Caenorhabditis elegans: one gene and its partners. The protein of the gene in region 1 purifies or fractionates together with the protein of each later gene. This does not show direct contact. Each region holds a gene or a part of one and is shown on either strand. Other genes may lie near its edges.

Region 1 (9,305 bases):
TCGAAAAATATTGTATTAATATTTTCTATTTTTAAAAATTGCAGAGCGTATTTTTTGTTGAAAAATTAATATTTTACAAATTTCTTTTTAAACCCCCATTTTGTAGATTTGAGTCGACTGGGAAGAAATCTGAATCAAACTTTGATTATCGACAATTCACCAGCCAGTTATGCATTCCATCCTGAAAATGCGGTAAGGATACTGTAGTTTTTCATTTTTCCAATTTTTTTCCACGATAACTTCAACTATAATTCAAAATTTTATTTTATTTCAGGTACCAGTGACGACGTGGTTTGATGATCCTTCAGATACAGAGCTTTTGGATATTCTTCCATCTTTGGAGCACTTAAACGGGGTTTGGATTTAATTTTTTTTTTGAAAACTATTTATTGGCCAAAATTTTCTATGAGAATTAATTGGGCAAGTTTTTGTTAAGAAAAAGTGACTGAATACTGAATATACTGGAAATTCAAAATTATTTTGAAAAACTCTTTCAAAATCGCCTAATTTAAAAGTAAAAATAACATTTTTCAGTTCTCAAGCATCTATGATCTGTATCGACCAGAAGAAGGACCACAATCCGAGCTTCTGAATCACTGCTCTTGCTAATTAATACGTCATATCATAAATTCACAAAGTAGCTGTTTTCTTGTTCGAGACGTCGTCGTAGCTCAAATCACAAAAGTACTATAATTGCCTTTTCCCAAATAAAAATCCAAATCTTTCCGAAATAAATTCGAATGAAAATACATATCCACTCAGGATTCCCCACTCTCTTCCCATTTTCTCTCAGATTTCTAATTGGATTTTTTCTGTCCCACTTGCCCTTCTTTGTTTTCCTTTTTTACCAGTTAAATTCTCCACAGTCCCCCCCCCCCCCCCCCCCATCGCATCATCATCATTCTCATCCGAATTGTGATCTTTTAATATCAAATTATTGCCCCTTATTAGTGTTTCCAAAAAAGAAAAATTTTAGTTTCAAAACCGTCGTAGTGTGTATCCTTTTTTGGACAACATTTTTCTCCAAAATAGTTTCACCAAAATTTGCAAAATTTGTCATTTTGTGTTTTCTTGTATTTTTCCCCTACGTAGTTGCACTTTGTCATTCGTTTTAGTATAATTATGCTGTAAATACGAGCTATTTTCTCTTTTTGAATCTAATATTTCTGAAATTCCAAAGAAAAGGAAAACAGTAATTAGATTCAAAAAGTTGCCAATTCTGAAGCAATCACCCCCAAATACTGAAAACGTGCATCCCTCATCCTCCATCCAGTGCCTTCGTTCCAATTTTCAACCCGAGTTTTCCCTTCATCCCTTTCCCAGAGACACGTATCCCTGTTTTGAATTGTCACCGTCACCACCAATATTCGTGCAGTATTATTATTATCAGTTGACTCCCGGTTCTTCTACTTTTTATAAATATTAAAACACAAATTTGGACTCGTAAAAATATTAATTAGGAAAGTTTGGCGATTCAAGTATGAAAAAACAGGTAATAATCAGTAGGCAGTCAATAAGAACGAAAATTAAAAAAAAAAAACATGGGTTTAGAAAAAATGAAAAAATTGAGACGAGTGGGTGAATACAAATAAAAATGGAACAGTAATAGGAACAAGTAAATTCTTAGTTTCGGATATCATCTTTCAAAACGACATACGGCTCAATGTCACCTCTTTCCACTATAGCAACCGATGAAGAATCTCTAATATATTGGACAATATCAATGTACCGAGGAATAGCAGGACGTCTGCTCACTTCTGTTCTCAGTTCTTGTACCTGAAAATAATTCACTTTTAACGAAAACCTTTTCATTAAAAAAACTTAACATAAAATTGGTACAGTTACTCTAATCAAGAAGTCTTTTTGAAAGAAAAAACATGGCATTTTTCGAAGTAAAAAGCTTGTTTTAATTATACGAAAATATAGTGTAGAGATGATTTGAAAATACTCTTTATTTTTAAAGATTTTTTTCGTATGTGTCAATCAAATTTTCTCGTAATACTTTTTATATAATTACTAATATCACATCGTAGAACAAATTGAAACTTTCAACGAAAATTACTACTTACTGTCAATACTGTCAAGTTCATGCTTCGATAACGGAGAATTATATCTCTCAATTCCTTCTCAATTCCATCTTGAAATATTAATTCCCTGTTCGATGGCTGACGATTCGAAGAGAGAACACTAAAAGATCTTTGAGCTTCCGGTTGATGGTTTGATTGTCCTCCGTTTTTATTAAAGTACGGCGCAGAATTTCCGTTAAAATTGTCATATCCTTGTGGTTGTGACTGATGAGGCATATGACTTCCGTGATGGTCAAATTGATGTGGATTTTGACTGTATCCGACTGTCATTCGATCTCTTTCATAATCAGCAAGTTTGAAGTTTCCGTGTGGATCGTATTCTGGAGGATTTGGTGGAAACTGATCAGGTGATCTTCTTCTTTGTGATGAATGATCTTCATGATAAACTGATCTACTGCCATAATGATTGAATTGTGGATTACATCCATAATTTGGATCGGAAGAAGTCGGACCCTGATTCGGATTGTACGAATTTTGATATCCATTTTGATTGATATGAGGTTGATTGCTCATATGTGATGGTTGTTGGCCAACGTGATTATAAGCAGGTTGTGGCACTTGAGAATAATTAAATGGAGAAGGACCATGTTGAGGGTTGTTCTGAATTGAATTGTATGGTGGATACTGTGGTGCCGGTTGTTGATAGATTGGTTGCTGCTGATTAACTGGCGGATACTGTTGGCCGTGCATCGGTTGGTGGATTGGCCTGAAAAATGTTAGTTTTGTGAATTTTTCTGTTTTTTTTTCTCAATTTTAGCAAAAAAGGATATGTCTTTTGCTTGCATGAAAACCCCAAGACTACAATTATTACGCGAATTGTTTTACATTACTTTTAAAGATGGTCAAATAATATCAAATTTCTTGAAAATATTGTCAAATTTATGAATTTATTAACCGAAAAAGAGTTTTTTTATTTCGGAAATTTTTGCGAAATCTTATCAAAAAATTCGATTTGGGTCCATTTGAGCGTTCTTTATTTAACTTTTGGAATGAATTTTTAAGTATAATCCTTACTGTTGATGATGTATTGGTTGAGGCGCATATTGATGTGGTTGAGGTTGTTGTACAGGAAGCTGTGGCTGATATGTTGGCTGTTGAGGGATATATGGTGCACCCGGATGAGAGTTTTGATACTGAAAAGATAATGATTATGACTTCAAACTTGTAGGATTTGAGAAAAAAACGAACATGGTTAAAGAAATATGGTTCAAATACCCAACGCATCACTTCGAAAAGTTTCTGACTGTGTTGGACAATAAATTAATGGAAAAGATCTTCAGTCTTTTAAAAGAATGTCCCAATTCTTGTTCACGTGAACAATACTGTTTTCTTTCAGTTTTTCTGTTAATTTTTTCTGTCTTCCAGAGAACTCAATAAATTATAATTTCACATTTCTCTCAACTTTATCCGAACTGTGAAGCAAAACTATTTCGAAAACAGCAAAAATAGATCGAAAATGTAATCATGTGAACAATTTTTCGCAAATTTTCAAATATTTGTTGTAGATACACAGTCAAAGTTCTCAAGACTACGGTCATTAAAATTGGATCACTATGAAATTTCAGTGGTACAGAAATGCACGGAGGCATTAGATTTTTCTAACAATTTTTTCTAACGTAAGTGTGGATAGAATGTTTAGACTTAAAATATTATTAAAAATGAAATTACCACAGCTGTTTGCATTGGTTGATTGGCTGGTTGACTTTGGTTGACTGGTGGTGGTGCTGGATGTGATGGCAGTCTGCAATAATTTTTTTGGTAATTGAAAGATTAAATTTTAAAGCTAGGAACCTTCTGTTGATGAAACCATTGGCTGAAGGTCGTTCTTTCAAAAGCGGATTCCGTACAGGCTCTGAAACTGATTTTAGGCTATTAAGACGAGTCCTAAACTGCTTAAAATACCTTTTGGCGCAACTTTAATCGGTTTGTGCGTATCCGCTGGTGTGAAAGGAAGTTGAACATTGCGTCTATCCTCGTCGTGATTCGATTTAGAGTAGAAATTTCCGACTTCTCTGAGTGGAGCTGGATTCTCAGGTGGAACGACGACTTCAGGACGTGTCGAAACAGGGATTGACGGTGCTGCGGTCGTAGAAGACGATTCTACTACTGGAGTCGGGAGAGCTACATTCACAGTGTCAACTGGAGGTGTATTGGAAGTGTCAGTAGCAGATGATTCTGATTTTTTCTTGTACGTATTGAATCGAGTCTCAACTGAAATAGATTTTCATAAATTTAATAGTTCAAATTGGTGATTTTGGAAAATTTTTGTAAGGCGGAATATCGTTGGTGTTTGAAAGTTCAAAAATTTAAAATAGTCTCAAGTTCAGAAATACCACAATAGAAAAATGAAAAAAAACGAAGCATCATCCCCATTCACTAAACTCCGCTTTGGAAATGATAAAATTCGTACTTTTCGAAGGAGGTTGCTGCTTAGACTTCGTGTGCTTCTCACGACTTCTTAGTTCTCTTTCCTGTTTCTTTTTAAGTTTATCCTTTCTTCTTTGACGCTTAATCTCCTTTTGCTCGGGATCTTCATCAGAGTAGGATCCTTCAGAAGTGATTTCACTATCTGATGTCGTATCACCGACATCTTGAACACGCTCACCACGATCTCCATATGAAGGACCACGGTTACCATTGGTGATTGTGCTTCTGCTAAGAGCTGGTGCTCCACCAAATGGATTCGGAATCGCGGATCGTTGAGGGGCTCCGGACGAAGTGCCTTGGCCCATTAGTGGATCTGTTTCCATCACACGATTGACTGGAGAAGTGGGTGCACGTGGAGGACGAGATGTTGACCGATCAGTATTTCGATTAAAGTGCGATGAAGTTGTTGGTTGCTGAAAATCACATAAATTTCATTTCTATATTGCACACAAAGAATTTTGTGAATAATGAATGTTTTTTTTATCGCACTCACCAACGATCCATCATCATCTGCATTGTTAGAAATGCCCCCAGCAAAAGTCGATGGTTGATAATTCGGATCTGGTACAATTACATTTCTGCGTTGTTGTGGACCACGACGATCATCTAGAAAAGAAAGATTTTTAGATAATCACAAAAAATGCAATGTACCTGATCTCTGTCCACCGGCCCTATAATTGCCTTGGCTTCCGTAGTTCTGATTTCTCTGATTGCCGGTTTTCCATTTGTTCCTAACATCCGCAATATGTTCATCAGTGAAAAGAACAACTGGTCCTGAATGAACAAACGTTGAAAATAAATCGAAAATATTTTTAGTTACTCACGGTTTCCTTCATCGTCAGCTCTAAAATAGAGTTCTACAGTTTTGCCGTTGGCTTGTGAAACCACAATTTCAGAAAATCTTGCAGTTGTTAGAAACTTCTTCAGTGTTCCTCGATTTGTATACTCTTTGAACCAATCATTATTCCACAGTTTTTCTGGATCGAGTTGAAGAATATCCTTATATTTTCGAAAAATATTCGCATGTGCCGCACCAGTAACCATATTTGTATAAGCAGTTGAAAGAATTTGATATTTAACTGAACGAATGCTATATTCATTTCTGACAGCCATTAACAATTCCGCAATCATGTTGAATGTGAGTAGAGTACGAATTTCCTTCTCTTCGGATTCAAATGTATCTGCTTCCTTTTTCTTCCTTTCCTGGCGTTTGTGCCTGCAAATTTTATACGCCATTTCGAGGAAACACCACCGATCGAAGAGACTGTGTTTTTTTTGTGGTGATTTGGCAAGGAGAGCTCAGAAATATTTAACTTATATATTTTTTTTTTTTGTACTGAAATATTTTCTTAATTTCTCTCGTGAATCGGCACAATAGTCATTCGATTAAAAAAAATGGAATTTGAGCAATTTCGCTATTGATTTTGAAAAAATATGTTCAAAACAAGAATAAAATAATTCAAATTCGATTATTCCATGAACATAGGGAATTATATCGATTTACGAGAGCAATTATGACGGGGTTTCAGTGCAAAAAACAAATTAATTGCTGTTTTTAACAATAATTCACATAAAAATTTCCACAAAAAAAGCCTGTAATAGCGTCTCTCTGATCGCCGGTGCCTTATTTCGAGTCGTTCAGAGCTTTTCGTGACAAAAAAAACGCACTGTTCTTCGGATCCATTCATCAACGAAACAACAGTCTCACGTTCTGAATCGGAAATGACTGGAAAGAATGCGCCCTCTTTGGACTGCAGCCAACCTCCTCGTACAAGTGCATGGGCGTGTTCGGTCTGAAAACAATTAAGTTATAGTCTCCCTATGCACATTGTAATTTACCTTGGAATCGTTTGGAAGCTGAGAAATAATTTCTGGAGGAAGCAATAAAACAGCTGTTACTTGAAGACTGTATCCCATACAAGATTTCAAACAATCATCCAATTCATCCGAGGAGTATCCAGAACGGAATTTCAATGGATTGCTCAGCAATGAAGAGCTCAGGAACAGCTGAAGATCACGCTAAACCATTAGGTCACGAGATCATATAAGTATTTAAATACCTTCATGATTTCTGGATTACTTGCATCGCTGAAATCATAATCGGCGTTATCATTTCTTCCGATGACGTTTTGTATAAGATTGTCCGGTATCGTTTCTGGTGGAGGTTCATCCATATTGTCATTCTGAATCAGAAAATAAAATTGAAATATACGAACACGAATCTTACCGCATAGTAGGCATCCACGTCAAAGTCATCGTCTCCTGAATCCAAATAACTATCGTAGTCATGTTCACCCGATGAATTTCCATAGCTATTAGTGTCATCTTCAGTTCGATTTTGCATGGGAGTTTCTTCACGATCAGTTTCCGTATACGAGGCGGGTGGTGGACCAACAACGATCCCCAATGGATCGATATATTGATCGGAGATGTCTAATTCCGGATAATCATCATCACTTTCGGACATTTTCTGCAAATATCGAGTATTTGAGTGGGTTGAAACGTTTGAACGGCAATAAATGAGAAGTAAACGATAATTTGCTAGAGGCATTAAAGAAAACTTTCTATTCCAGGAAGTATTACGATTCTGGGACAAACAAGCGAAATTTGTAATAAGGTCTCTCAATAATATATATAATAGCTAAAACTTCAAGTCGTGCACTGTTGCGTTAATTCATTTCATTTTGAGCCGATAAGTCTGCAATAAACAATAATCATAGATTATAAAGATTTTTAACAGTTAATATTTTGTTTTGTTTTTGAATTCGGAAGCTTGTTCTTCAATTTCCAGTGCTTGAGATTTAAATGAAATTCGATCTGGAAGGCAATTTTGAAACAAACTGATTGGAAAACTGTTTAAATGGTTTTTTCAATTGAAATAATGATAAAAAATGTTAAGGAGCAATAAAACGCGTTCTAAATATTCGATCGGCAAGCAGATGATTGACGGTTATTCATTGAAACGTCGATAGAGCGCGATTGCATTGCGTTCAGGAAAAGTTGAATTTCTATCGAAAACAAGTATTAGAATTGAAGAAAACGTTTTGAAACTAAAAAATCATCTAAATCGGCATGTTTTTTAAACTAATGAACAGTCGCTTCATTAAAACATAACAGAAATTTGTTTGTATACGATAAACTGGCTTTTAAAATTGAAAAATATATATATAAAATCAAATTCACCGGCACATTTTCTCAAACCGATCGACAAAAAAGTACTTTAATTTTCCGAAAGAACTATTATGAAAGTGTATCGGTAAATAGTTTATTTTTAGGCCACAAAAGGATCAATTAACATGTTAATTAACACCTTCTGTTTCGAATTTTATCGCTTTTTAGTAATTTTTTGAATAGCTAAACAATAATTACTTTGAAAACGAAAAGAAATAACGAATATGGTGAAGTAAATCGCAGTTTTAAAAGTTGAAAAGGAGAAAATACATTTTTCAAATACAACTCAAACAAAGCGGCGCTTCTACTACGGTCACACTCATTTCACGTGTATGATTTCAAATTAAATCGTATGTAGTTTTAAAATTTGGTTAAGATTTCAGATTTAAATATTTGAAAGCTTTAATAAAAAATTATTGAAGACCATATATAATTTTTGAAGGCTATAAACCTTAATTTTTAACGAAAATATTAGAAAAAAGTTTCAAAGCATTAAAATTAATTTCGCGTCGGGACCAGACGCGCACTCACCACAATGTTCCTTAATCAAAATTAGTTTCTGTATCGGCGGGAAAATTGAAAATTCATTTTGAGCATCGCATAATCTCACTCACCATATACATTCAACGACTAATCGAGTGAATAAATCGATCGGAAAGGACATTTACAAGTTTATCTGAGCGAATTATGACCGAAAATCCTATGGAAAGTGCATTAAAAAAACTTTTTCCAGTGAAATATAAACAAAAATTAGCTGAAAAATACATATAAGAAACTAGTTGAAAAAAGGTTGGTACCATTGATCCTTGGCCCCAAGATACACCCCATTTTGTCTACTGGATCCTTTGTCACTTTGGACACTTTGTCTCCAAAGAACCTACGTCACCCAAAAGTTTGCAATCTAGGAATGAACAGTGAAATTTTAAAGCATTTTTATTTCAAAATGATTGGAATTTGTATCAGGGATTTGTGAGCGAACAGCTTAGAACTGATTCCACGTCGAAAAAACCGATCAGTCATGCAATGTTAACAGTATTTTATTTTTTATTCTAACAATACAATCTGTGACTATGTTGAGATCGTCCAATAACAGTTGAGCAGAGGTTTCTTCTTATCCAGAAGAAAGCTTCTAACTTGCTATCGGCAAATCGCTTCATAGCACATTCACAGACTTTGCGAAGATTTTCAATCTCCCCCATTCGTACATTCATCGTATATTCTTGTAATTTCCTAGTTAAAGACGAAGTAAGAGAATTAGCGTTAAATGTACGAAGCGGATCTGGCGCCGTCGGGGTATTATAGTCGTATTTTAGGGTTGCGGCTGGTTAGCTATAAAAATTACCCAAATACGAAATCCAAAAATTTGTAAACATCGAAAAATAATATTCAGATACAAAATGGAAGAACTCGATTGTACAGATGGATATGATATTGAGAGAAATGATGGACAACTTGCAACCTTGGTATTCATCGAATTTTGTGTCGAACTCGTCATTTGGAAAAGTGATAATTTACATTAAATTTTTATGAGATATCTCAGTATATGAAATTTGGTTTTTTCGGGAAAGTTTCAATACATTTGAGTGTAACAACCACAAATTCTACTCCTCCGTTAATTAC
Region 2 (7,126 bases), on another chromosome or scaffold:
TTGAACTTTCGATTTTCTCAAGTCAATCACAAATTCTTTTGAAATCTTGAAGATTTGTAGTAAGTATTCTTCATTTTTTGGCTCCTTAACACATGCAAGTCCCGCCTTCTTTTGATAATATTCTGTCATTTGTTGTTCCATAATGCTTTGCTTATCTTGCATCCAATTCATGAAATTCATCAGAATCCATTTTGATAAAAGCGATCCAATGGGTTTCTTTCGCTCCGGAAGTTGTTGTAGCATAATCAGAATTATATCAAAAACATTCAATGGTTCTAATTCTTTTTCCGAACCCGTTTTAATTTCTTCATTGGAAACAGACTCTTCTGAACTTTTGAGATCTTCATCAAAGAATTCCAGAGACTTCTGATATATTTGTTCCTCCTTCACTGATTCACTTGATTTACTTTTGACTATATCCTGAAAAAATTCAAATAAAACTAGGTGCCGTATCATCTTGATTTGTGAATGACTTTATCTTTTTTAATGTATTTCCGAAGATGTGCTCATTTGAATTAATACTTTACTCGACTAATAACATTTGCAATCCCGCGAAAGAGAATATCCGATTGATAAAAAGTTGAAGGCAACCAAGTATTATAATTAGTTCAACAATTATATTATAGGAATACTAAAATCTGAGAATGCGCATAGTGCAACATATGTCTGCAGACAGATCTGACGCTCAAAATATCTCGTACACAATTATTCAAATGACGACCCGAGCACTGATGTAGATTTACGGCGCTGAACTTTCGAATTTATTTTACGAATTGTGACAGCGGTACGGTAGCTGCCAAGTATCGGTTGTTTCGAGACCCGCTACCGTATTTGTGGTTCAAAACTAAAAATTAGGGTCCCTCATTGAATGAAAAGAAGCCTACTTTGAAAATCTTCATTCTTGCATCAATAATCTCAAACTTCAGTGATTTTTGCTTATTTTCCGGAACATCTTCCGATGATGTTGTATCTCCCATCTTAAAAAAAGATTTTTATATCTAATAATTCAAATTTATGAAAAAAAAAAGAATTTAAAATTGTAGAGCCTTGCGAAATGAACATGTTAATCACTTTTCTCAAAAATTGGAGAAAGTTTTGAATTTAAAGAAGAGTCACTATTAAACTAAACATTTAAAATAAGCACGAAAAATTCATTTACAAAAGTAAAGAAGAATCAATTGAATGTGTTCCCGCTCTTCCACCTCTCTCTCATCCTGCGTTTCTTTCTTTTCTATGACTCTATTTACGACCTAGAATATATCGATCGTCGTAGCGCGATGTAGCGGTGCATCTCAGGAAAATAACAAATAAACAACAAAATATTCATTTGAAATGAATAATGCCAGATGAGGCAAAAATATTAACAGAATAAGTATTGAATATTAAAAACCGTTGAACAGGGAGAATAAAACTAGATAAACTTAGAACTATTACCGGGACGAGGTGATATTACATGCAGGACACAAAATGTGGATAGGAAAAAATAAGAAAAATGGTACAAGTTTAAAACGAGAAGGGGAACGGGATTTCGAATTCAACATTCCTGGCTGGTGCTCTCCGACGCTTGATTGCCACGACCATCACAAGCCACCGTACCGCATTCTCCACACACATAGAAGCTGAGATTTCGACGCTTGAACTCGTCATCAGGCACTTTGTGGATTCGAACTTCAATTCCATCTGGCAGATTGGTGTGAAGTGCAGTTTGTCGCCTAAATAAAGCCAAATTAGGTTTTAATAATATTAAAGGATAAATTTCTTACGTAATATGTAGGCATCCTGTGGGAACAGTTGCCACGATCCACTTGCTTGTTGGAGATGGTCGCGACATTTCCACTTTTACTCCGTCGTAGTCGTCTGGATTGATATGAAGCATACGATTCCACCATTCTATAAGTAAAAATAAATTTCCATGTTGACCGCAAGCGAGAAATAAACTAACCTTCCAGTGGAAATTCGCTCATATCCGCACGATAAACATTTTGCACATGGATGACACAGTATTGGTGCAAGAAATGTAAAACTGGTCCGGGGAATTTAATTTGAAGCCGAGAATTGCATTCAGTGCATCGAGGATATACGTCTTCCGGACGAATATCTACGTTGAACAGGTCGAAAAACTCAATAAGCTGATCTACGGGAGACATGTTATTGAGTTCCGGAATTGCAATTGTATAATTATCATAATCCATTTTCAAGGCTTCGTAACTTTTCGATGGCACTGTGATTATATGACGTAGATGCTCGCCGCCAACTCGTTCAATTTCCTTCAGGTACTTTCGGAAGTCGCTCACGTCTTTTGGAAGAATAACATCAATTCCAACTCTCCTGAAATAAAAATTTTCAACTTTAACATTTTTTAAAGATAAACTTCAAACCTCAGATTCTTTCCAAATCCAATCAGCATTGTGTCAACAATAACTTTAATGTCGTGTGGTCGCTGTGGTGATCTCGTAGGATTACGATGGCTTCGCAAGATATCGTAGAGCTCAAGCCATGGAATAGTTTTCAGCTTGCGGTACGATTTGTGTCCTTTGTCTTTTTTCGGAGCCATTACATTTGATTCTCTGACAATCTTCTCGATATCTGCGTCCTTGTTTTTCTCCTCTACAATCGACAAGATTTTCTTGAATGTTTCCACCACGACAACTGCGTCCAATGCTGCGTACACAATTTGTTTTTTTCGCAGAGGACGACATTGCCAGTTACTGCATTGTTCAGTTTTGTCGAGCTCCAATCCCAGTAGATAATGTGTCAAATCTGCCAATTTGAAAGTCTTCTTTGGCAGCTCTAAAATTTCCATGTCGATATCGCAAACATTCTCTGCTAATCGCTTCAGATCGAATGCATTTTTGGTATCTTCTATCTTCATGGATGACTTCAGTGCTGGGATTGTAGCCATTGCATCCAGATCGTTCCTCATATCAAATCCTACGACTTTTACAGGAGAATCTCCGAACAATCGAGATGCGAACTTTTGCCACCAGTCATCTGCCATATTTGCCTTTTCTAATTCTACGCAATCCACAAGCCATACACAATTTTTGAAGAACAATTGTATGATAGCAATTTTCGAGTCACTGAAAATCGGTGCATATGGAATTTTAAGAATGAAATTGTTCACTTACTGAACAGCTGTAAGATTCGACGGTTTCCACTCAGAATCGAATCCAACGTAAACAGGTGCTGGCTCGTCGCTTAGTGATTTGATCTCGGAACATAAGTAATTCATCTCAGATTCAGTTTTCACCATGTGGATTTGAGTTCTTCGCTCATTCTCAAATACGAATAATTGTTCGCCATTTAGAGGAACTTGCAGTGTTCTGAACAAAAATGGTTTTAAAAAAGTCGAAGAAATCGAAAACAATTACTTTCTTCTCACTAGAAGTTCTTTTGCTTCTCTGAGCTTCGAATCAGGTTGTCGAAAGAAGTCCCTCATAACATTCGGCAGTTGATAGCTGCTGGAACTAGCGATTCCTAAGTAGATAGCAAAGCAGATGGCATCTATTCTGAAAATTGAATTTTAGAAAGAAAAATCTTTTTGAATGTCACTTACTGTTTCTCGGTGTCATTTGAGCTCCACAAGTAAAACAAAATAGGTTCACGAACATCTTCGGCTTTGGTAAAAGTTTCAACCATATGCTGGAAATAGTTGTCATCGGATTTTCCCTTCTCGTATCGTTCACTGATATTAAACTTCAATGCCTTCAGATTCCCATTCTGTGAGTGGTTTTTGGCGAACTTCGACAATTCCCTGGAGAAGTTGTATTCGTGAGTATTTTTGTTGATAATCGTCGAAATGAGTTTGTCCAACGTTTTTCCCGTCAATTTCTCCATAGGAATCGTCATAATTTTGGTTTCCTTGTAGGGTTTCAGCATCTCTTCAACGGCAACCACTGAGATTCCAACCATTCGATCAAAAAACTCTACAAGCTGCTGTTGCATCCTCTCATTGTTACTTATCAATTTATAAGCCGTTTGATCTTTGCCAGATAGCATTAATGGAAGAACAAGATGTTCGAAATGATGATCCCGTAGAAGATTGTACTGAATAGCCATATCTGCAGCAACGGAGAAGTCTTGTTTCTTGATGGCAGCATCTAGCAACTGTGTAATGTCCTCAGTGAATTTCTCTTTGGTGATATCGAAGATTTCACTGAGAAGCTGCTTTTGTCCAATTGTGCACACATCTAAGGCGTTTATTTGAATAGTTCCAGTCAGATATTTCTGTCTGAGCTCCGTCTCCTGTCCCGACTCTTTTAACCAAACTCCAAAATCCTCCAGATACCAAACCGCCAAACTTTGTCCCGATGTTTTTCCTCTATCCGGCATCGCTTTCATCATATCCACAGCCATTCCGTAGATGTTGACTCCTTTAAATGTATAGATTATGAATGAGGGTTTTTTAAAGTTTTTAATAATAAAAGAACTTTAAAATGTTTACCTGATCTATAGTCCTCGTTGAAAAATTCTCGATTTTTGGCTCGAACTTTTCTCTCCCGCTCAGACTCGGGTCCATTCATAATTGCTTTCAGAACTTCCCGGCGTGACTTCAACGGTTCGGCGTAGTCTGTTCGATATTTTGCCTTTTTCTCGGCTTTCGTTAGCTTTCTTTTGTACGGTTCTTCTTCCATTTTCGAAACGGACAAGCTTGATTCTGTAAAAAGTATAAATAAATATTTGTCGAAAAGTTAGTACAAAAGAAATTAATCAAAGAACAAGGAAAACGTGTTTCCCCACGAGAATTCGTATTACGGAGAGGAAAATCTAGAAACGGCCCAAAAACCGAAAGAACAACAGAAAAGCGTTGTGGATTATTCGATATCCAGCACTTTTTGCACAAATTGAGGCAAAAATAATGGAAAAAGAACCAAGAAATCAATGAACAAAATGGAAAATGAATTTTTAAAAAATTGTCGATGGTATTTAAGATGTGCAGGTTAGCGAATAGTACTGTATCACGGCGGCGATTCAAATGATCTACGAAGCAATTACACGAGGAAAATTAATGGAGATTATGGAGCAAATTGAGGGAATTAATTATAGTATAAAAGTTTCGAAAAGGAAAATTATTATTTATTATCCTATTTAGTTCGCCACACAATGGGAGATTTTAGATGCGTAAATAGTTGAGAGTAGAAAGTAAACTGACTGACTCAAAAAATATGTTTAAAATGTTTATTCGAGATTGAGAAAATAAATTAAATTTCACGAAACCTTTTAAATACATAAGTAAAAAAATGTTTTGTTTTTAAATTTGCCACTATCAAAACTGTCTAACTCTCTAACTCTTATCTTCTCTGCGTAACGATAGAGCGCGTTTACATCATTATTTTTTCATTAAATTTTTTCTATAAATATTTCTTCTTTCTACGACAAACGTTCTCCATTATTGTTTTTGCAGACTTTTTCCATCTAACATGGTTCAAGAAAGCATTATTTCATCTTTCCGTGGAAAACTTGAAAACGATCCAAGCAAATCAACGAGTCTAGCCACAGTGGAAACACTGCTCGAGGTTTTAGACCGGAGTCGCGGTAAGTTCCTGAATTTGAATATTTAGGCAATTAATTTTTTGCTTAATTACAGCCACCACCGTTGCCGAATTTCAAAATGAGCTAAATCAAGTAGTTGCTGCTCTCGAGAAAACGGACTACAGCTCAACATCAATTCGAAGTGCCGCTGATTTGTTCACCAGATTCACTTCTCTGGCTCCAGCTGCTCTTCTCGATCAAGAAGATTTTTCTCAAGTTCTTGATCTGTATCGCCAACGAGCACGCTCATTTATAAAGAATGTCAGAGGTTCTCGAGCCAAAATTTCCAAGTGCGCTCGTCTATTTTTCACTCATCATATGGTACGTTTTTTTTTCTATTTAAATAATTCCTATTTAATGTATTTTAATCTTTGTATTTTCTAGAATATTCTGACACACTCATACAGCAAAGTGGTTCTGGAAACTATTCTTGATGCTCACAAAAGTGGATATCACCTTCATGTCTGGGTCACCGAATCGCAACCGGATGCTTCAGGAAAACTAGTGTTTGAAGAATTGAAAAAGAATGGAGTTCCAACTACTTTAGTTCTAGATAGCTGTGTGGGGTGAGTGGAAATTATAAAAAACAATAAGAAAAACGTATATACATTTTTTATTTTTTAAGATATGTCATGGAAAGAATTCAAGCAGTTCTAGTTGGCGCTGAAGGAGTCATGGAAACCGGTGGAATCATCAATAAAATTGGAACTGTTAATGTTTGTATCATCGCAAAATCACGGCATGTTCCCGTCTATGTTTGCGCTGAAACTATCAAGTTTGTACGGGAGTTCCCACTCAACCAGGCCGATATTCCCCAAGAATTCAAAGTAATCAATTTATATCAAATAACTCAATCAGATCTTTCATTATTTCAGTATCGAACATCAGTAATTGAGAGAAACAACCTAGAATTGGAGCATCCCGATGTGGATTACACCGCACCCGAATTTCTGACACTGATCATTACTGATGTCGGCGCAATGAAGCCTGAAGCTGTTGGAGAAGAACTCATTAAAATGTATATCTGAGGGTAGAAATTTATTTGAACGTGTATTTAATTCAATCAAATTAAATTAATTTGTTCTTGTTTTGTTTTTTATAATTATGATTGGTTTTTTTCTTTTACAAAAATAAAAAATAACGTGGAACCCAAAACTATTCATTTCGAGTTTTTAAAAACGCTCATTCATCAAAAAGATGAGTGAAAAGCACTTTATTTTGCCATCTAGCATGCTAATGATAGTTTCGGCTGTCTTCGGAGGTATCGGAATCATCACTACAATCGTGTTCGTGATTCTGACAGTTCTTCATTCAAAAAGTGCGGTTTGTAAACCTGCAGGTTAGTTTTTGTTGCGAAATTGTGCAATTTTTACCCAGAAAGTACGGTTCCCGGTCTCGACGCTACAATTGTTAAATTCTGAAAGGTGTGTGCCTTTAAAGTGTACTGTACTTCGAATTTTTAGACTTTTATTAGTTTTTCGATATTTAAATATTTATTTATTTATCTGAAACTATGAAAAATCGATGCAAATTCCATAACAACGAAAATCTGAAATTACAGTACTCTTTAAAGGCGCACACCTCTTTGGATCTA
Region 3 (9,065 bases), 2.4 Mb from region 1:
AACAACACCTTTTATTCGATAAAAACCCGAAAAGTTGTTAAAACAAAAGGCTTACCTGGTATCTTTGATCTCTGTAAGCACTAATTTCCTTAGGATTATCCAATGTTCTTGGATCGAAGACCATTTTAAAAGAAAGAACGAAGAAACAGACACACTCTTCAGCGAACAAAATTCGAAAAGAGAACGGAGTGTCGTAGCGCGTGTTGTTTAACTGAAACCCGAGGTTATTTGAATTTGGATTTTATCAACCCTCATTTAGCAGATATTGGATAACGAAATAACATTGGGAATATCGATTACGAAACGAAAATCTAAAATAAATAAATGTTTTATACCACGGAGAAAATATTTTAAAATTATTAATCAATCATTTGATGATGGAATTGGTCAGTTTACACACAAATACAAATGGTAGAAGGAATTAAAAATAAATAAAACAGAAAAAATAGTACAAGGTTTGAAAATGTAAGTGAAGAAAAAACATTAACAGAGTCTATGGCATATTTCAACAAAAATACGAGATTAAAATTCACCATTCATAACTTTTTGATAGCAAAGAGATGCCATCTGTTGTGATACTTCTTCTCCTTCCCAATGACTTTTGATTGGAATTGTAACTGCTGAAAGCTTTTTGAGCATTTGAATTGATTCGAGAGTTCCGGAGACGGAGACGATGTAACGAACTGAAAACAATTATTTTATGCTACCAATATGAAGAGTTTTTAATTACCTGTAGTCTTTGGTTTCGCCTTATCGTTTATCGGATTTTTCTCCTGTCGCCGCATCTTTACAGTTGAAACATTTGTGTGTTTCTTCATATTATTGATCAGATCATTCACATTTATATTTTCTAAATGAAAAAAAACTCAATTTTTTTTATTTCCAAAAGATTTTACATACCGGGTAACTCGATAACAAATGGTTCACACTCTCGATCCATCGTCTCAGCTGTAATTGTTGGATCAGATGATACTGGAAGCTCTTCAAAACGTAGATTAAACAGAATATTGTAGTAGGTTTTGAGAGCTGATTCATGGAATATTCGCCATTCTCCACGCATAAAAATCGATGAGAAGTTGAGAGGACAAAAGGATAAAGTCGACATTTTTCTGAACTTCCGACATCCCATAAATTGGAAGAATTTGACCATCTGAAAAAAATACACAATTCGGCTTTGAATTTCTCGCCAATGTTGGACTACAAATCATACAGCTGAATGGACTTATGTCAACTTTGATGAATCGAAAATTCAAGTTTTTTTTGTTTTATATTCGGTAAAATTTCAACTTTTCTACAATTTCCTATAATTTCTCTATATATTTCAATGAATTTTTTATTTTTGTTATCAAAATATAGATGTTTATAGACAAAATTCAAAGGTTTCTCTTCTTTTTTCATACTTTTTCGAAGAAATCGAAAAATCGACGATGTTCGATGACCCCCTTATTCCTTACCATATCTGATCTTTTTTTTTCAGTAAGTGGATCGATATTGCCTCTCGATGAATCTCTTTTCTGTTTCTCATATTCTTCTTTTTCAATTATTTTGAAAAACGGTTCTGCATTTCCATCAGCAGATGCCAATTGTCGTGTTGCAAAAAGAATGAACATGAGGAAAAAGTGATAAATCTTGATTGGTTTTCCATCAAACAATCGTAATGATTCTCCCCATCGCATTAACATGAAGAACACAGAGTCCAACCCTGGTATCATCTCCAGATATATTTTCAGAATGGAAATCGCTTCTTTTGATTTTTCACCGGTAATTAGATGATCGAGTTCACAGAAGTTCTTGAAATCCGCATCGTGATCAATCAAATATTGTTTTCGATGCTCTTCTAGGAAAGTGTACATGGGATTTGCTCCACCAATCTGCATTCTTTCGTTATTCAATACATTAGTCTCCTTGACTTTGGCAATGACGTCATATGCAATCCAAGCAAATGAAAGCTTCCGAACTTCTCTCGTGGATTGAGCACACTCTACAAAGAAATTACAATAGTTCAAAAAATTGAAACAAAAAAATTGAATTACCGTAACAAGCTCGATACCAGGCAACAGCTTTCTTTCTGACCTCCTGATCTGGATCTTCGCAACGGTAATTGAGACAGTTGCCGTTATCGTAAGCATTTGGTAAAAGTGTACATTTTACTGTGAATCCACCAAATTCCTGATAATGGCATAGAAATTAAAAAATAAATAAATATTGAAATAAACTGTACCTCGAAGAACGTTTCTCTGAATTTGCACACTAAAGATGTCATTTTTGTTTCAATCATTTGATTAGTGTTGTAGAATGACATATCATCTTGGTCTTTATCCGAAATTCGATTTCTCATTTCGACAATGCATCCTGACATGATTTCACCTTCCGACCGGATACCGTAGTTTTCCATAATAGACTGTAAAATTTGGGTATTTAAACTTTACTCAGCCTTCAAACTAACCCTGAGTTGTCCGTTGTAACTGGATAATTGTTTTTGAGCACTTTCCATATATCTCTCAAAACCAGTAACAAAGATAGTCTCATCCAGTTCAATATTATATTGTTCATCCCTTTCTTCAGAGATCTTGATAACATTGTCAATTGCTTGAAACTCTCGGAATAGTTTTCCACAAAGCCTTGGACTGACATACATCGGACTTCGTTCATTTCCCATATGAAAGTCAGGAATTCGCTCAGGATTTTCAGGAGGGATAACTTCGAATGTTACGGGATCTGAAAATAGGTAGTTACACCATATTCATGAATACGCATACGTACCGGCCCTCCATTTCGTTTCCAATGGATCTGGTGGTTGTCCAGACTTTGTGAAATCAACAGCTTGGCAATTCTTCTTTGCCAAATCCATACAAACTCTCGAATTCAGCCCATATTGGTCAGAATTGTGAAGATGACTGTTCGAGATTTGTCCAACGGAGTCTAATTTCAGATATGTGACATAAAACTCACGCATCAAGACGTCCTAAATTTGATATTACACCAAAGTTTAAAAAAAAAATGAACAAAAAAAAACTAACAAGCTTCTCTCTATCATATGGTACTTTAATCTTTTCAACAGCAAAATCGAAAGGTTCTTCATTTCTTTCAAGAAGTAATTCCTGATCCCAAATAACAGAATATTCATCTCCATCCAAATCGGATCCAGCCATTTCATCAGGATGAGGCCTCGGTCCATGTTGTGGGAATACTACTACATCACACATGTGATGAAGTTCTGGAATATCGACAGCCTCGAAAATCCGAACATCTCCGGGGACAATACAAGGGTTTTTAGTGAGCAAAACGGTTCCTGTGACAATCTCACTTCCATGAACTTTATTGTTGGAATCTCGCGGTGGAAGTTTTTTCTTGTAATTTTTCGTGTATTGAACGAAGATTTGTCCGTATTGTAAACGTCCAGTTTCATCAACTACTCCGAGCATAGATCGACCAAGTTCACTGGGAATTTGAATTTGCTCTTTGCAAAGCTGTTTCGCTGAAAATAATAAAATTGAGAAATTGAAAACAATTCGGAAAACTCACTGATTGAGAACTTGATGGATGCCTTGATTAGGGAACGGAAGAATGGCTCACTAGACAATGTAAATCCCCACATTGTTCTCAAGTTATCAATATCAATACGACGTGGAAACTCCTGAAAGAGTTCCAAATAAAAAGTTTCATTATTTCATGTTTCAGACAAACCTTTAATTTGTTTCTACAAAAGGTCTCCTCATTCATCTGTTTGGCAAATGACAAGATCTGACGATCCATCAATTCCTCAATTCTGCTCGTAATTCTTTTATGACAATCCAACGATTGCATTTCGGAAACTTGATCAAGAATATTGATGAATGGTTTATTGAGAGCAACCAATACCGCTGACGAGAACTTTACCATTTCGATTTGGTCTCCCGAAATAGCCTTAGCTTGGAATTTAATTTGACTTGGACGGAACAAACATTTCGCCATTTTCATCGAAGTAACACCGTTCACAAGTGCCCATTTACGAATTTCATCCAGAAAGGGTTCAATAGCGATGACTCCTTTATTTCCGCGGAATCGAATCTGCAAAAACTATAGTTACCTAAGTTCACACGAAATTAATTTACCTGGAAGCAGCTAGGAACAGCTTTTCCAAATTGCATCGCTTGGGATACTTCCTGTGCAAATTGATAGCTCATCATTCCAACTCCGTCAGAAAATGTATACTCGCTTCCGTTTGTCGCTCGTCCACCAGTCAAATCGTACGTGCTACAGTAATCATCTCGTCCAAGTCCGACACCGGTTAGCTGAAATTCATACTTGTATTATGATGGAAAGTTATCACTAAAAAATCCATGAAACTGAATAAAAATTAAAAACATACCCTGCTCTGAGTGAAGCATTGACCCAATCTCGCCATCAACTTAGGAACATTTTCAATTTCCGAGAATCTTCCTAATTGAAATCGAACTTCGTCGATTTTCGGCTTGAAGTTTATATTCGATGCTGTCGGATTACATTTGTAGAAGCGATCAAGCTGCTTGTCTGTGAATCTCATCATGAAATATGCTCCATTGTCTCTCATTTGTGAATTTGAGCATCCCAAGAAACCATATTCACGATTTGCAATTCGAACTCCGTGCTCCAAATACTTGTTCGCCGTCCTGTCGAGAAGTTTACCCGTAACATTTGATCTCATTTTCTTATTATTATCATCTCGAAATGTTACTCTAAGCACCCGGGTGCCATCTTTATCGAATTTCCGTAGAACTCGATTTCCCATGATCGTCTCTGGTGCAATGTAGATGACTCTCGTAGGTGTGAAGATAACTTTTCGAACTCGTTGATATCCTTCTATGCTCTCCTTTTCTGTTAAACCATTAACCAGTTTCATAACCTCACGTTTTTGGCAAATTTTATCTAGGCACTGAAAAATTTTTAAAAAAATTATCAAAAAATATGCAAAAAACACAACCTTCAAAATTGATCCGATTCGCTTTCTACCATCAATTAAATGAACGAGATCTTCCAAGGCAGCTTCACACAGTTGATTATCATTCCTGTAGTACCAAATGATAATTTCCAGGAAATTTTTCCAATGTTGCTCATTCAGTAGTAGTTGATCTTTCACAATAGCTCCCCGTGACAACAGACATTCAATCAAATATGTGATAGAAAACTTCCGTTCCTCATTAACATCAATCAATTTATCATCTACTATTTCATATTTCGGTGGGAATATCTGCAAAAATTGATACTCAGATTATTGAGGCAATTCTTTGTTTTTTTAAAGACTAACTCACCTCTTTCAGAAACTCTCTAAAAATGGGCGCATTTGAGTCGGTCGGCGATTTCTTCAAATTCCACCGGTTGTATGGATAGTGACTGCCCATCGGAACATCAATGCTCGGAAGATTCGCAAATTCAATCAGAACTTTGGTTCGAGACCTCAGACGAGACAACACACGATACATTTCTTTTGTCTGAATTAGAGAATAATAATAATAAAAAACGATGCTTAATCATCAAAATCTATCATAAAACAGTAGAAAATAGCTCACTGATATTTCTTTATGGAACTCAATTGTGAAGAAAGGACTATCTGCGATGGCAGCATCTTGTGGATTACCATGATTAACATTTCCATTTCTCCAATCACAATCGAACCGTTTCTGACGCTCATAGAAGGGTTTATGAAACGATGACTAAACAATTAGAATTGTTATAAAAATCTGTGATCAATATTAAATTACCTTATCATTATCAATATATCCTTTCCTGATGAGTGGGGGACAATTAACTTCAAAATGAACACATGTGTTGCATCCTTCAACTCGTGGATCGACAATAATTCGACGAATTGAATCCCTTCGAATCTGAATTTTTGAATTTAATTAAATTTTAAGAAATTCTCCCAGTATTGGATTTGATAGCTACAGCTAAACACTTACTGTTAATTGATAGTTCACTCGAACTTTTTGTTTCCTCGAATCCTCAAACTTCTGTTTCTTCTCCTCGAAACATTGAAATTGTACTGTTATCATATCAGTTTTATCGAATTCAAATTCGGCGTGTATCTTATGCAACATATCTCTTGACGATATGTTTTCGCGTGAAAATGAAACCTGCCAATGATTGAAATATGTGCCTCCTTGTATATTTCCAAAATAAATCGCAGCAAGTGGAATCTCTGTGTGACAATCGAGAGTTCTCAACCAAAAATCGGAACCATGAAGGACAATGTTAGGCCGCTGATACGGAACGTACACATTCTGAAAATAAAATTAATTCGAAATCGTCCAATATGAATTCAAGTACTCACCAAATCTGATAAATAATCGTGCATAGCATCTATAATTGTGTGATCAAACTGTTCGCTCTCAACTTCAAAGTTTATTTCAAAGAAGCAATCGCAGTCCTGTTCTTCAACAATTTGAGTTTCTTGACGGGATTTGATTTCGATTTCGTATTTACGAAGAACCTAGAAATATCATAATAATTATTAAAACAAGCGTCATTTTTTTAATCGAAAAATGTCCAAAAAATGAATTAAAATTCTCAAAACCATGACGCACTGAAGTAAATGTCAGTAACATTGTATCGATACTTCCTTCGATGACTTGAAGCGAGTTATCGAATTCCGGAAATTCAAATTTAATGAATCCATGACTTCGTTCCGACATGACGAGGAGTCTGAAAAATTTTATACAGATAAATTTTAATGGCCAACGCACGAAAAACAAGGTTTTATGGAAGACAAACAAAAATAAAGATTTTTTAAATTTGCCATCGATCAATTGGATATTTAAATTTTTACTGTTATACAACTAAAAATAACTATAAATTAGGTTCTCATTAACCTTCACTTTGAAATTTACAAAAACATTTTTTGAAAGTTAACAACCCGCTGAAATGCAAAAATCGGTTCACTGAAAAAGACGCTGCCCGTCGGAGACGCAGACAGCTGAAAAAGACACTGTGGTGACAATGCAACAGTGAGCAAGTATCGTGATTATTATTCCGTAATTTTATTTACGGAAACTCATTTAAAACTATTTTCTAATAATAAAGAAATTTAATTTCATCTCGGAAAATTGAGCACCTTTAAAAAGTTGTATATTTAAAATGTTTTAAAATTTTTCTGATCAAAAACAACTGCATTTCAAAAATGTTGATTTCAGTCGAGAAGGAAAAAAGTTCGATAGTTTGGTCCAAAATTCAAACAAAATCGACAGCATTTCAATTTTTCAAGAAATCTGGCTATATTCTATCCAATAGGAAAATCATGTACGAAAAAACGCATATAACAAATAAAATACAAATATCGGATTCGTAATAAAACAGACAATTCATTGAAACAGATAACCGAAACGCTGAAAACGATGAAAAGAAGGAGAAACCTATCCATTTCAATCAATCAGCAAAAGAAACAACAGGAAAATATAATGAGAAAAAGAAACAGAAATAAGCATGCCAATTAAAACATGCAAAAAAAAAACAGAAAAATAAAATTTAAAATGAAAACCATATTAAACATTTAAAATCTCTGAAAACACTGCTAAAAACGAATAAGAGAAACATTCTAGATGTTGATGTGTCCTCTGACAATCTTTTCATAGCACAATCGAGCCATCTGTGTAGACACATCTTGTCCCGTTACGTACGTTTTGATGGGAACTTTTACAGCAACCAGTTGACGCAACTTGTACATTGACTCGAGAGTTCCACGTGTAGAAACCAGAAGACGCACTATAATAATTTGAAAATTAAATCTGTTTACCATTCGATTTTGTTAACTCACTATTGATTTTTTGCACATCATCCGAAGAGCGAACTGATTTCTCCATGTTTCGCATGAATATCTCTTTTACACCAGTATGCTCTACCAGCTTGCGATGAACCAATGAACGATCACAATTGGCTGGTAATTCAATCACGAACGGTTCGTTTTCTCGAATTATTGAACGAACTGTAGTTGTTGGATCAGTTGACACAGGAAGTTCTTCGAATCGTAAATTGAATAACACGTTGTAGTAGGTTTTGAGTGCGGCCAAATGGAAAATTTGCCATTCTCCTCGCATGAAAATTGATGAGAAATCAAGAGCACAGAATGAGAGATTCGCCATTTTTCGGAACTTTCGCGAGGCCAAAAATTCGAGAAACTTCACCATCTGAAAACAGTCATTATTATAAAAAAAATAACACAAATATTCTTCTCACCATCTGACTTTTTCCTTTTTCCTCAATATATAAACTGGGCTCAAAGTCTCCAATTGTTTTACTCTGCTTGTAACTTTTCTCATCGACCTTATTGAAGAACTTGGCAGCATTTCCATCAACGGAAGAAAATTGCCTTGTAGCAAACAGGATAAATAGCAGTGATAAATGATATTCTCGAAGTGATTGATTTTCAAATAGATTTGAAATCCGTGCCCATTCGTCTAACATGAATAAGACTGCATCCAATCCTGGATAAGTTTCTGTGTACATTTTGATGATTCTATGAGCTCGTTTCACTTGTTCTCCACTAGTTTTAGGTGTTGAAAATTGTCGAAAAGCTTCGAATTTTCTCGAGTTATCGACAAGATACTGAGATCTGTGGTCGTCAAGCATTGTGTACAATGGATTTGCTCCACCCATCTTAACTTCGTCACTTGTAAGACTTTTGTCTTGTTTCACTTTTGCGATGACGTCATATGCGAGCCAAGCGAACGACAATTTCTTGTTTTCTCGAGTTATTCGAGCTTCCTCTGAAATTAAAATAGTATTTATTTTTATTTCAAGTTATCCAACTAACCATAGCAAGCTCTGTACCAAGCTACGGCCTTTTTCATCATCTGCACTGTCGGAGCACGACATTGTCGTTGAAGAATATTACTATCACGTCCGTAACGAGAGAATGCTTCTGTGTTACCTTCCCAGCCGCCTTCGAATTCCTGAAATTACGCATGTACACATATGTAACTGGCTTAGGAAAGCTTTACTTCAAAAAATATCTCTCGGTATTTCTTGAACAAATTTGTCAATTTCGTCTCGATCATCTGGTTTGTGTTGAAGAATGACATATCATCTTGATCCTTATCCGAAATTCTGTTTCG
Region 4 (6,389 bases), on another chromosome or scaffold:
TCTTTCTTTTAGCTTACATGACGAGTTCAGCAACCCACGTTGGCACAGTACACTTTCGATTGTAAAGTTCAAAGCTGACGACCTTAATTTGAATTTTCTCTAAAATCGACACGACAATATCGATGAAAACTATTTTGTTTTCCTTGTGTGCCGACTTTTCAATTCCATGGAGCATCCTCGGGAAAGCTTCCACGTTGGACGGGAGTCCGTAGAAAATATACTGTAAATATGTTGATTGCTTTCTAATTACTGATTTTTAGAGGTTATACCGAGTCCGCGAGTGGCAAATCAACTTCATCAAATGCATTGTAGCTGCAAACTGCGAGTCCATTGCGATGGAACTTTGTCTTTTCTTGAATCCCACCATCGGGCATTTCTGTCAGAAACATAGACGATTCCATTCTCTGCTTGTTCAGCGTCAGCTTAATCTTGCGAGAATCGTCGTGCTCACAGAGGATAATCGTTGTCTCTAGAAAAGAACTAGATTTTTAATTTTAAAAAATGGTTTAAATACCTTTTCGTCCAATATAATCGCGAATCGCATCGAATTTTTGTTGAACGGACGAATTATCGGCTTCCGCCATCTTGTGAACTTCCATCTGGAGTCCAGAATCAAAAGTGTCGCTGTTCTGCGACATACTTCCCGTCTATTAATCTGTAAAACTGCAAAATAAATAAAGTATTCGAAAAATCATCAAAAATGATTATTTAAAATAGGTCATATAAGATATTGAAAGATAAATTGAATGAAGCTGTAACCATAGGATTCAAAACAAGAAATATGAAACACGAATTCAAAAAACATTGTATGTTACAAAAAAAAACAAAATACAAAAAGTTTAAAACCAGTAAAATTAAGAATCGTGTGAATGGGACGGAAAGAAACAAATAAATCAGCACAAAGATGGGGAAAATAATTTTTGAGAAGTTGGAAGAAAAATACATATTTAAACAGGAACAGCTGATGTTGCAGTTGCAACAGCTGCAGTTGTTCTCGATTGTCGATCCGCCAGGTATTTTTGGTAAAGATCGCGGAACCACGTGGGCGCTCGTGTTTTGTTGCATTCGAGAAACTGAAAAATTATCATGATTGTTTGAATCTTTCGATTTTGAGAAAGAAAAAGAACCTTTAAATATTCGCGAACGAGGCGAAAGTCCTTATTCTGGTCGATAATCATGTATAACTTCAGTTTCACTCCAATAATCGAAGCGAGGTTCTGCAACTCCGTCTCCATAATTGTTTGAAAATATAGTGGATGCGGAGAATCAAACATAACGATAGTGTCGACGGCGCCTCGGTGAACAGCGCGAATTGATCTCCAGTCGATCACAAGCACATCGAGATTACCCGTGCGAAACTCAAAGTTTCGTTTTTCCACATCTTCTTCGGAGTCGCATCTGCAAAAAAATAAATATGGAATAAAAAGGACACTATTTAGAATTGAACATACGTTGTAATTTTATGAATATTATAACGAAGGTTCACAGCTAAAGTTTGCATTTTCAGCCTCAGGTACATCATCACACGAATACATGTTTCCGTCGTTCGTGTTATGACGAGAATGCGTTCACGGCGGGGTTCTGAGAAAAATTTTATACCGAGTTTATAGTTCATATCAACTCACTGTCTCTCCGTCCAGATCTACCGTTATCTGCCGCTCTTGCATCTCTTTCTTTTTTGATCAACATGGTTAGTATCTTCAGTTTTTGTGTTGATTCGGTCAAATATTGCTGAAAGAATGAAAGATTAATTCAAAATTTAGACTCAGTAGTTACCGAGACAATTGCGGGACTTATATTATTATTCTCAAGTGTGCTCTCCTGGGTCGGAAGTAGACTAGCAATTTCACTGATAGGACGTACCAACTTGCATTCGATATTGGAAAATACATCACGAACTCTGGAAACATTCTAAGAATAGCACAAATTTTGCGAATATTGCTCGAACCTCGGATTATCAGCTTCAATGAGCACAGGTCTTTCCATTTTACCTTTGCAAAACTCGAGTGTTTCGGTTAACGAGGCAACTGAACTTGAGAAATGATACGCGAAGATGAATCGTGTCAAAGAACTTTCAAAAGTTTGAGCGAGACGTCCGAGTGAGTCGGCAAACTCACTGTTCCCCTTCAACTTCTCGGCATTATTAATGATAACAAAACGTAGAACAGATATAAAATCATCCAACTGTTCCATTTCATTCTTCAGCTTATCGATATACTCTTTGATTTTTTTGAATGAACCAATGAAAACTCTAGATCTATTCGATGTCATGAATTCATTTGACAGCTCAGTTGTGTCTAGATTTGTTATATGTGTATTTGGACGAGTGGAATTAGAACTTCTTCTCTTGTTGAGTAGGCCTCTCATTACAGATTTCGAGCGTTTACCGTCTGTAGTTATAATAATGCATCGCGGAAACGGTTTCTGAAATTAGAATCAGTTATCACTTCCACTAGCTTGGCTAACCCTATGCGAACGAAATCTGTCGATGGAGTGCAAGATGGGTTGTCCGTAGTAAAACTCGTGATTTGGGCCTGAATGAATGCAAAACAAATGTTCGCCGTTGTGAAAACGCCCGAGACTGCAATATAAAGCATCTTGCAATGTTCTCCATGGACTGTAGCCTCGGCGGCCACTGAAAATATGAATGTATTTTCAGAATTAACGACGGGATCGAATGACCTGATTGAAAACTTCATCAGCTTCCTCGTTATTTGCAGCGACCCGGTTTCAGACGATCTCACATACGCTACTTCTTCAAAGTATTAATTTCGATGGTATCTTTAGTATGATATTTCAAACCTTCTCTTGAAGCTGCCGGTCCCCACTCTGGGTTATGCGCTCGAGCCTGGAAAACATGAAATAATTGCAGTCATTCATTAATCTCAACTTCTTTGACCGAAAAACATGATCTCCTTGCATTGCCCAATCCATCAAGATCAAAAGCATTCACGACACCTGAAATGAATAAAATAAATATCCCATTTAGCTCATCAAAAATTGTCACCCATGCTACATATGCCGATTCCATTGGAGTTATCCATTTCTTTGATACTTATCTAAATACTTCCATTCAAATCCTGTTATTTAAACCCGTGCGCGATATCTGAACAACTCCGGAGTGTTTTTCAATGCTCGACTCGCTCCAGCAATCGATAAACAGAATGGGAATCGGTTTCGCTGCGTTCAAAACATCGGCCGGAATATTCTGGTTTCTGAGACAACGAAACGTGAAACATCTATCAAGTTTTCAACCTTTTTTCGAAGCCATGATTAGTATCATAATTTAAAACCTGTTTTTTTGCTTGACGTTTTTGCATATTTCAATCAAAACCACCTTTCATATCGCTTTGATTTTCAATTTTAGAACAAAGCCCCGCCTACAATTGCCTGATTTCGTTCTACGCGAGCTGTTTGCTTGCGAATCGATAAAGTGTCGGTTGTGTGGCAAGTGCGCTCCACTGTGCAGGTCTCGCAGCGATTGCCATTTTCCACCGTAGTTCCCTCCAATGTCTTCTCCATTTTCGTAATTTTTTGGTTCGCCCAAATTTTTTTTCGTCATTTTTTGCCTGAAATGTTCGTTTCTTCTCAATTTTTCTTGGATTTTAAGAGTAGATTTGAGAATAGTGGATGATTCTAGTCGATTCAGATCGACTGGAGCGTGATTTAAATCCATGACTCTAAGTGAAATGGGATAATTCTCAATCTTACTCGGCTCTCCCACGGCTGAGGTATGTATTTTTCGTAATTTCGCTTTTCGTTTTTGTTAAATAATCGATTTTTGTAGTATGGGACGTCCAGAGTTCAATCGTGGCGGCGGCGGCGGAGGTAAACTGAATTTCAGGATTTTTTCGTATTATAAATATTATTTTTCAGGTTTCCGAGGTGGACGCGGTGGAGACCGTGGTGGTAGCAGAGGTGGATTTGGAGGCGGTGGTCGTGGAGGATATGGCGGAGGTGATCGTGGCAGTTTCGGTGGAGGTGATCGCGGAGGCTTCAGAGGAGGACGCGGAGGTGGAGACCGCGGTGGTTTCCGTGGAGGAAGAGGCGGTGGTGATCGGTTTGTGTTTTATAATTCTGTTCGCCATCAAAACGATAATTTTTCAGAGGTGGTTTTGGTGGCCGTGGATCACCAAGAGGAGGATTCGGAGGACGTGGATCTCCAAGAGGCGGAAGAGGATCACCACGTGGTGGACGCGGAGGAGCCGGTGGAATGCGAGGAGGAAAGACTGTCGTTGTCGAACCACATCGTCTCGGTGGAGTATTCATCGTGAAAGGAAAGGAAGATGCTCTTGCCACAAAGAACATGGTTGTGGGAGAGTCCGTGTACGGAGAGAAGAGAGTGTCCGTCGATGACGGAGCTGGCTCAATCGAGTACCGTGTGTGGAATCCATTCCGTTCTAAGCTCGCTGCTTCCATCATGGGAGGATTGGAGAACACTCACATCAAGCCAGGAACCAAACTTCTCTATCTCGGAGCTGCTTCTGGAACTACTGTTTCCCATTGTTCTGACGTCGTTGGACCAGAAGGAATCGTTTATGCTGTTGAGTTCTCTCACAGATCTGGACGTGACCTTTTGGGAGTTGCCAAGAAGAGACCAAACGTTGTCCCAATTGTCGAAGATGCCAGACATCCACACAAGTACCGCATGCTTGTCGGTAAGTATTAAATTTAAGCATTTTTGTGTTTAATATTTATATTACAGGAATGGTCGATGTCATCTTTTCTGATGTTGCTCAGCCAGATCAAGCTCGTATTGTTGCTCTCAATGCCCAAAACTTCCTTCGCAACGGTGGACATGCCGTCATCTCTATCAAAGCTAATTGCATTGACAGTACTGCTGAGCCCGAGGCTGTATTTGCTGGTGAAGTCAACAAGCTGAAGGAGGAGAAGTTCAAGCCACTTGAGCAGGTAACCCTGGAGCCGTATGAGAGAGACCACGCTGTCGTGGTTGCTGTCTACCGCCCAGTCAAGGGAAAGAAGGTCTGATCTCCAAAATCATCGTTACATTTTTTTGTTTTGTTATTTTGTTACATGTATACCTCCATCTTGATCGTTAACACTTGTTTTACTTGTTTCCCAATAAAATGTTGTTGATGCTGTCATGTTAGGGATGTTTTACTTTTATCTTTACTTGGTTCTCAACCTTGCCGATATTTCTATTCTACTTTAATTGTAACCTTTATTTTGTTCTTTGTTTAATATATTATTACAGGGTAATGACGTCTACCGTGCAATCGGTTCAGACCTTCGGGCGCAAGAAGACTGCCACCGCTGTCGCTCACTGCAAAAAGGGACAAGGACTTATCAAGGTCAACGGTCGCCCACTTGAGTTCTTGGAGCCACAGATCCTGCGCATCAAGCTTCAGGTTTTTGTTCCGACATTAAATTCCAACTAACTTGTATTTTTCAGGAGCCACTTCTCCTCGTCGGAAAGGAACGCTTCCAGGATGTCGACATCAGAATCCGTGTTAGCGGTGGAGGACACGTTGCCCAGATCTACGCTGTCCGTCAAGCCCTTGCCAAGGCTCTCGTTGCCTACTACCACAAGTACGTTGACGAGCAGAGCAAGAGAGAATTGAAGAACATCTTCGCCGCTTACGACAAGTCCCTTTTGGTTGCTGACCCAAGACGCCGTGAGTCCAAGAAGTTCGGTGGACCAGGAGCCCGCGCTCGCTACCAGAAGTCTTACCGTTAAATTCTTTTTGTTGCACAATAAAATTGTTATTGAAAAAAAAGATTTATGAGATCGAATTTAAAAAGATTTAGAAAGTGAAGCTGAGCAAAAGCATATCAAGGACAAAAATGAATAGTATTCCGGCGATGAGGTCCAATCTTGAGTGTTTAGTTTTTCTCGTGTAGGCAACTTCGAATTGTTGTATTGGTTTAGAGCTTAAAATTCAATCTTATTCTGGTATGGTATAGAAACACTCACCAAATGCACTCAGTTTGAACTTCGCTGATTCCCGTTCCGTTTATTGTACACGTTGATCTCTTCTGCCGAGCACGACTACATCGAAAATCACAACATGAGTTGAACATTTCACATGACGAATAGTCTGCCTGAAATATTGGCAGAATTTTTTCAGGATGAGCTAAACATTTCAAACCTTTGATATGCATTCCTGCGTGTAGACTTTTAAGGATGCTTCAGTGTTTGATACTAAACATGGAATCAGGCAGGCTGGAATAATGATGGCAGTTATTCGCATTATAAAATATCTGAAATTAAGATATGCTCCTTCTGCTAGACTGGATATAAATTGAGAAAGTAAATCTACAGAGAGATTGCAGTGGAGTCAATGTTTGAGCAGAGTTCAGCATACAACAATCGCTAATTTGACAGTTTTCTCTGCTTCTTTCAATTGTGAACTAGTATTGAGCTAGAT

What was found.
Region 2: the proteins of mut-16 (region 1) and mut-7 purify together in Caenorhabditis elegans (affinity purification with western blotting; 2 studies listed by BioGRID, with this or other methods). This does not show direct contact.
Region 3: the proteins of mut-16 (region 1) and rrf-1 purify together in Caenorhabditis elegans (affinity purification with western blotting; 2 studies listed by BioGRID, with this or other methods). This does not show direct contact.
Region 4: the proteins of mut-16 (region 1) and mut-15 purify together in Caenorhabditis elegans (affinity purification with western blotting; 2 studies listed by BioGRID, with this or other methods). This does not show direct contact.

The regions. Positions count from the first base shown.
Region 1 is NC_003279.8:10,077,838-10,087,142, reverse strand, and holds mut-16 (MUTator), read right to left. Parts: upstream 6,985-9,305; 5' UTR 6,982-6,984; coding exon 6,742-6,981; intron 6,698-6,741; coding exon 6,575-6,697; intron 6,534-6,574; coding exon 6,354-6,533; intron 6,308-6,353; coding exon 6,183-6,307; intron 5,731-6,182; coding exon 5,339-5,730; intron 5,289-5,338; coding exon 5,166-5,288; intron 5,121-5,165; coding exon 5,008-5,120; intron 4,928-5,007; coding exon 4,498-4,927; intron 4,299-4,497; coding exon 3,990-4,298; intron 3,940-3,989; coding exon 3,879-3,939; intron 3,829-3,878; coding exon 3,756-3,828; intron 3,221-3,755; coding exon 3,102-3,220; intron 2,794-3,101; coding exon 2,070-2,793; intron 1,777-2,069; coding exon 1,624-1,776; 3' UTR 1,435-1,623; downstream 1-1,434. Other genes in the region: scpl-1 (CTD small phosphatase-like protein 1), read left to right, coding at 107-192, 275-355, 535-609.
Region 2 is NC_003281.10:9,537,722-9,544,847, forward strand, and holds mut-7 (Exonuclease mut-7), read right to left. Parts: upstream 4,660-7,126; 5' UTR 4,635-4,659; coding exon 4,445-4,634; intron 4,374-4,444; coding exon 3,557-4,373; intron 3,510-3,556; coding exon 3,372-3,509; intron 3,324-3,371; coding exon 3,129-3,323; intron 3,081-3,128; coding exon 2,379-3,080; intron 2,329-2,378; coding exon 1,943-2,328; intron 1,891-1,942; coding exon 1,764-1,890; intron 1,713-1,763; coding exon 1,535-1,712; 3' UTR 1,310-1,534; downstream 1-1,309. Other genes in the region: ZK1098.3 (uncharacterized protein), read right to left, coding at 1-420, 885-977; eif-2Balpha (Translation initiation factor eIF2B subunit alpha), read left to right, coding at 5,421-5,535, 5,588-5,853, 5,917-6,098, 6,158-6,359, 6,408-6,560; ZK1098.9 (uncharacterized protein), read left to right, coding at 6,730-6,871. UniProt on the Caenorhabditis elegans protein: Represses the transposition of Tc1, Tc3, Tc4, and Tc5, perhaps by degrading transposon-specific messages.
Region 3 is NC_003279.8:7,643,118-7,652,182, forward strand, and holds rrf-1 (RNA-directed RNA polymerase), read right to left. Parts: upstream 6,661-9,065; 5' UTR 6,651-6,660; coding exon 6,543-6,650; intron 6,449-6,542; coding exon 6,290-6,448; intron 6,240-6,289; coding exon 5,919-6,239; intron 5,844-5,918; coding exon 5,721-5,843; intron 5,673-5,720; coding exon 5,529-5,672; intron 5,451-5,528; coding exon 5,271-5,450; intron 5,210-5,270; coding exon 4,943-5,209; intron 4,895-4,942; coding exon 4,352-4,894; intron 4,275-4,351; coding exon 4,095-4,274; intron 4,051-4,094; coding exon 3,688-4,050; intron 3,638-3,687; coding exon 3,526-3,637; intron 3,479-3,525; coding exon 3,021-3,478; intron 2,966-3,020; coding exon 2,764-2,965; intron 2,719-2,763; coding exon 2,447-2,718; intron 2,402-2,446; coding exon 2,222-2,401; intron 2,170-2,221; coding exon 2,034-2,169; intron 1,982-2,033; coding exon 1,455-1,981; intron 1,151-1,454; coding exon 901-1,150; intron 851-900; coding exon 731-850; intron 684-730; and 3 more. Other genes in the region: ncbp-2 (Nuclear cap-binding protein subunit 2), read right to left, coding at 56-124; ego-1 (RNA-directed RNA polymerase), read right to left, coding at 7,550-7,716, 7,769-8,138, 8,188-8,717, 8,765-8,903, 8,952-9,065.
Region 4 is NC_003283.11:14,999,368-15,005,756, reverse strand, and holds mut-15 (MUTator), read right to left. Parts: upstream 3,215-6,389; 5' UTR 3,045-3,214; coding exon 3,008-3,044; intron 2,959-3,007; coding exon 2,891-2,958; intron 2,849-2,890; coding exon 2,803-2,848; intron 2,756-2,802; coding exon 2,683-2,755; intron 2,636-2,682; coding exon 2,467-2,635; intron 2,425-2,466; coding exon 1,949-2,424; intron 1,901-1,948; coding exon 1,777-1,900; intron 1,732-1,776; coding exon 1,626-1,731; intron 1,582-1,625; coding exon 1,452-1,581; intron 1,399-1,451; coding exon 1,128-1,398; intron 1,074-1,127; coding exon 948-1,073; 3' UTR 690-947; downstream 1-689. Other genes in the region: Protein hrde-2, read right to left, coding at 18-220, 270-469, 515-638; fib-1 (rRNA 2'-O-methyltransferase fibrillarin), read left to right, coding at 3,789-3,828, 3,877-4,060, 4,108-4,658, 4,706-4,989; rps-16 (Small ribosomal subunit protein uS9), read left to right, coding at 5,220-5,369, 5,414-5,698; T01C3.11 (uncharacterized protein), read right to left, coding at 5,766-5,892, 5,936-6,063, 6,111-6,212.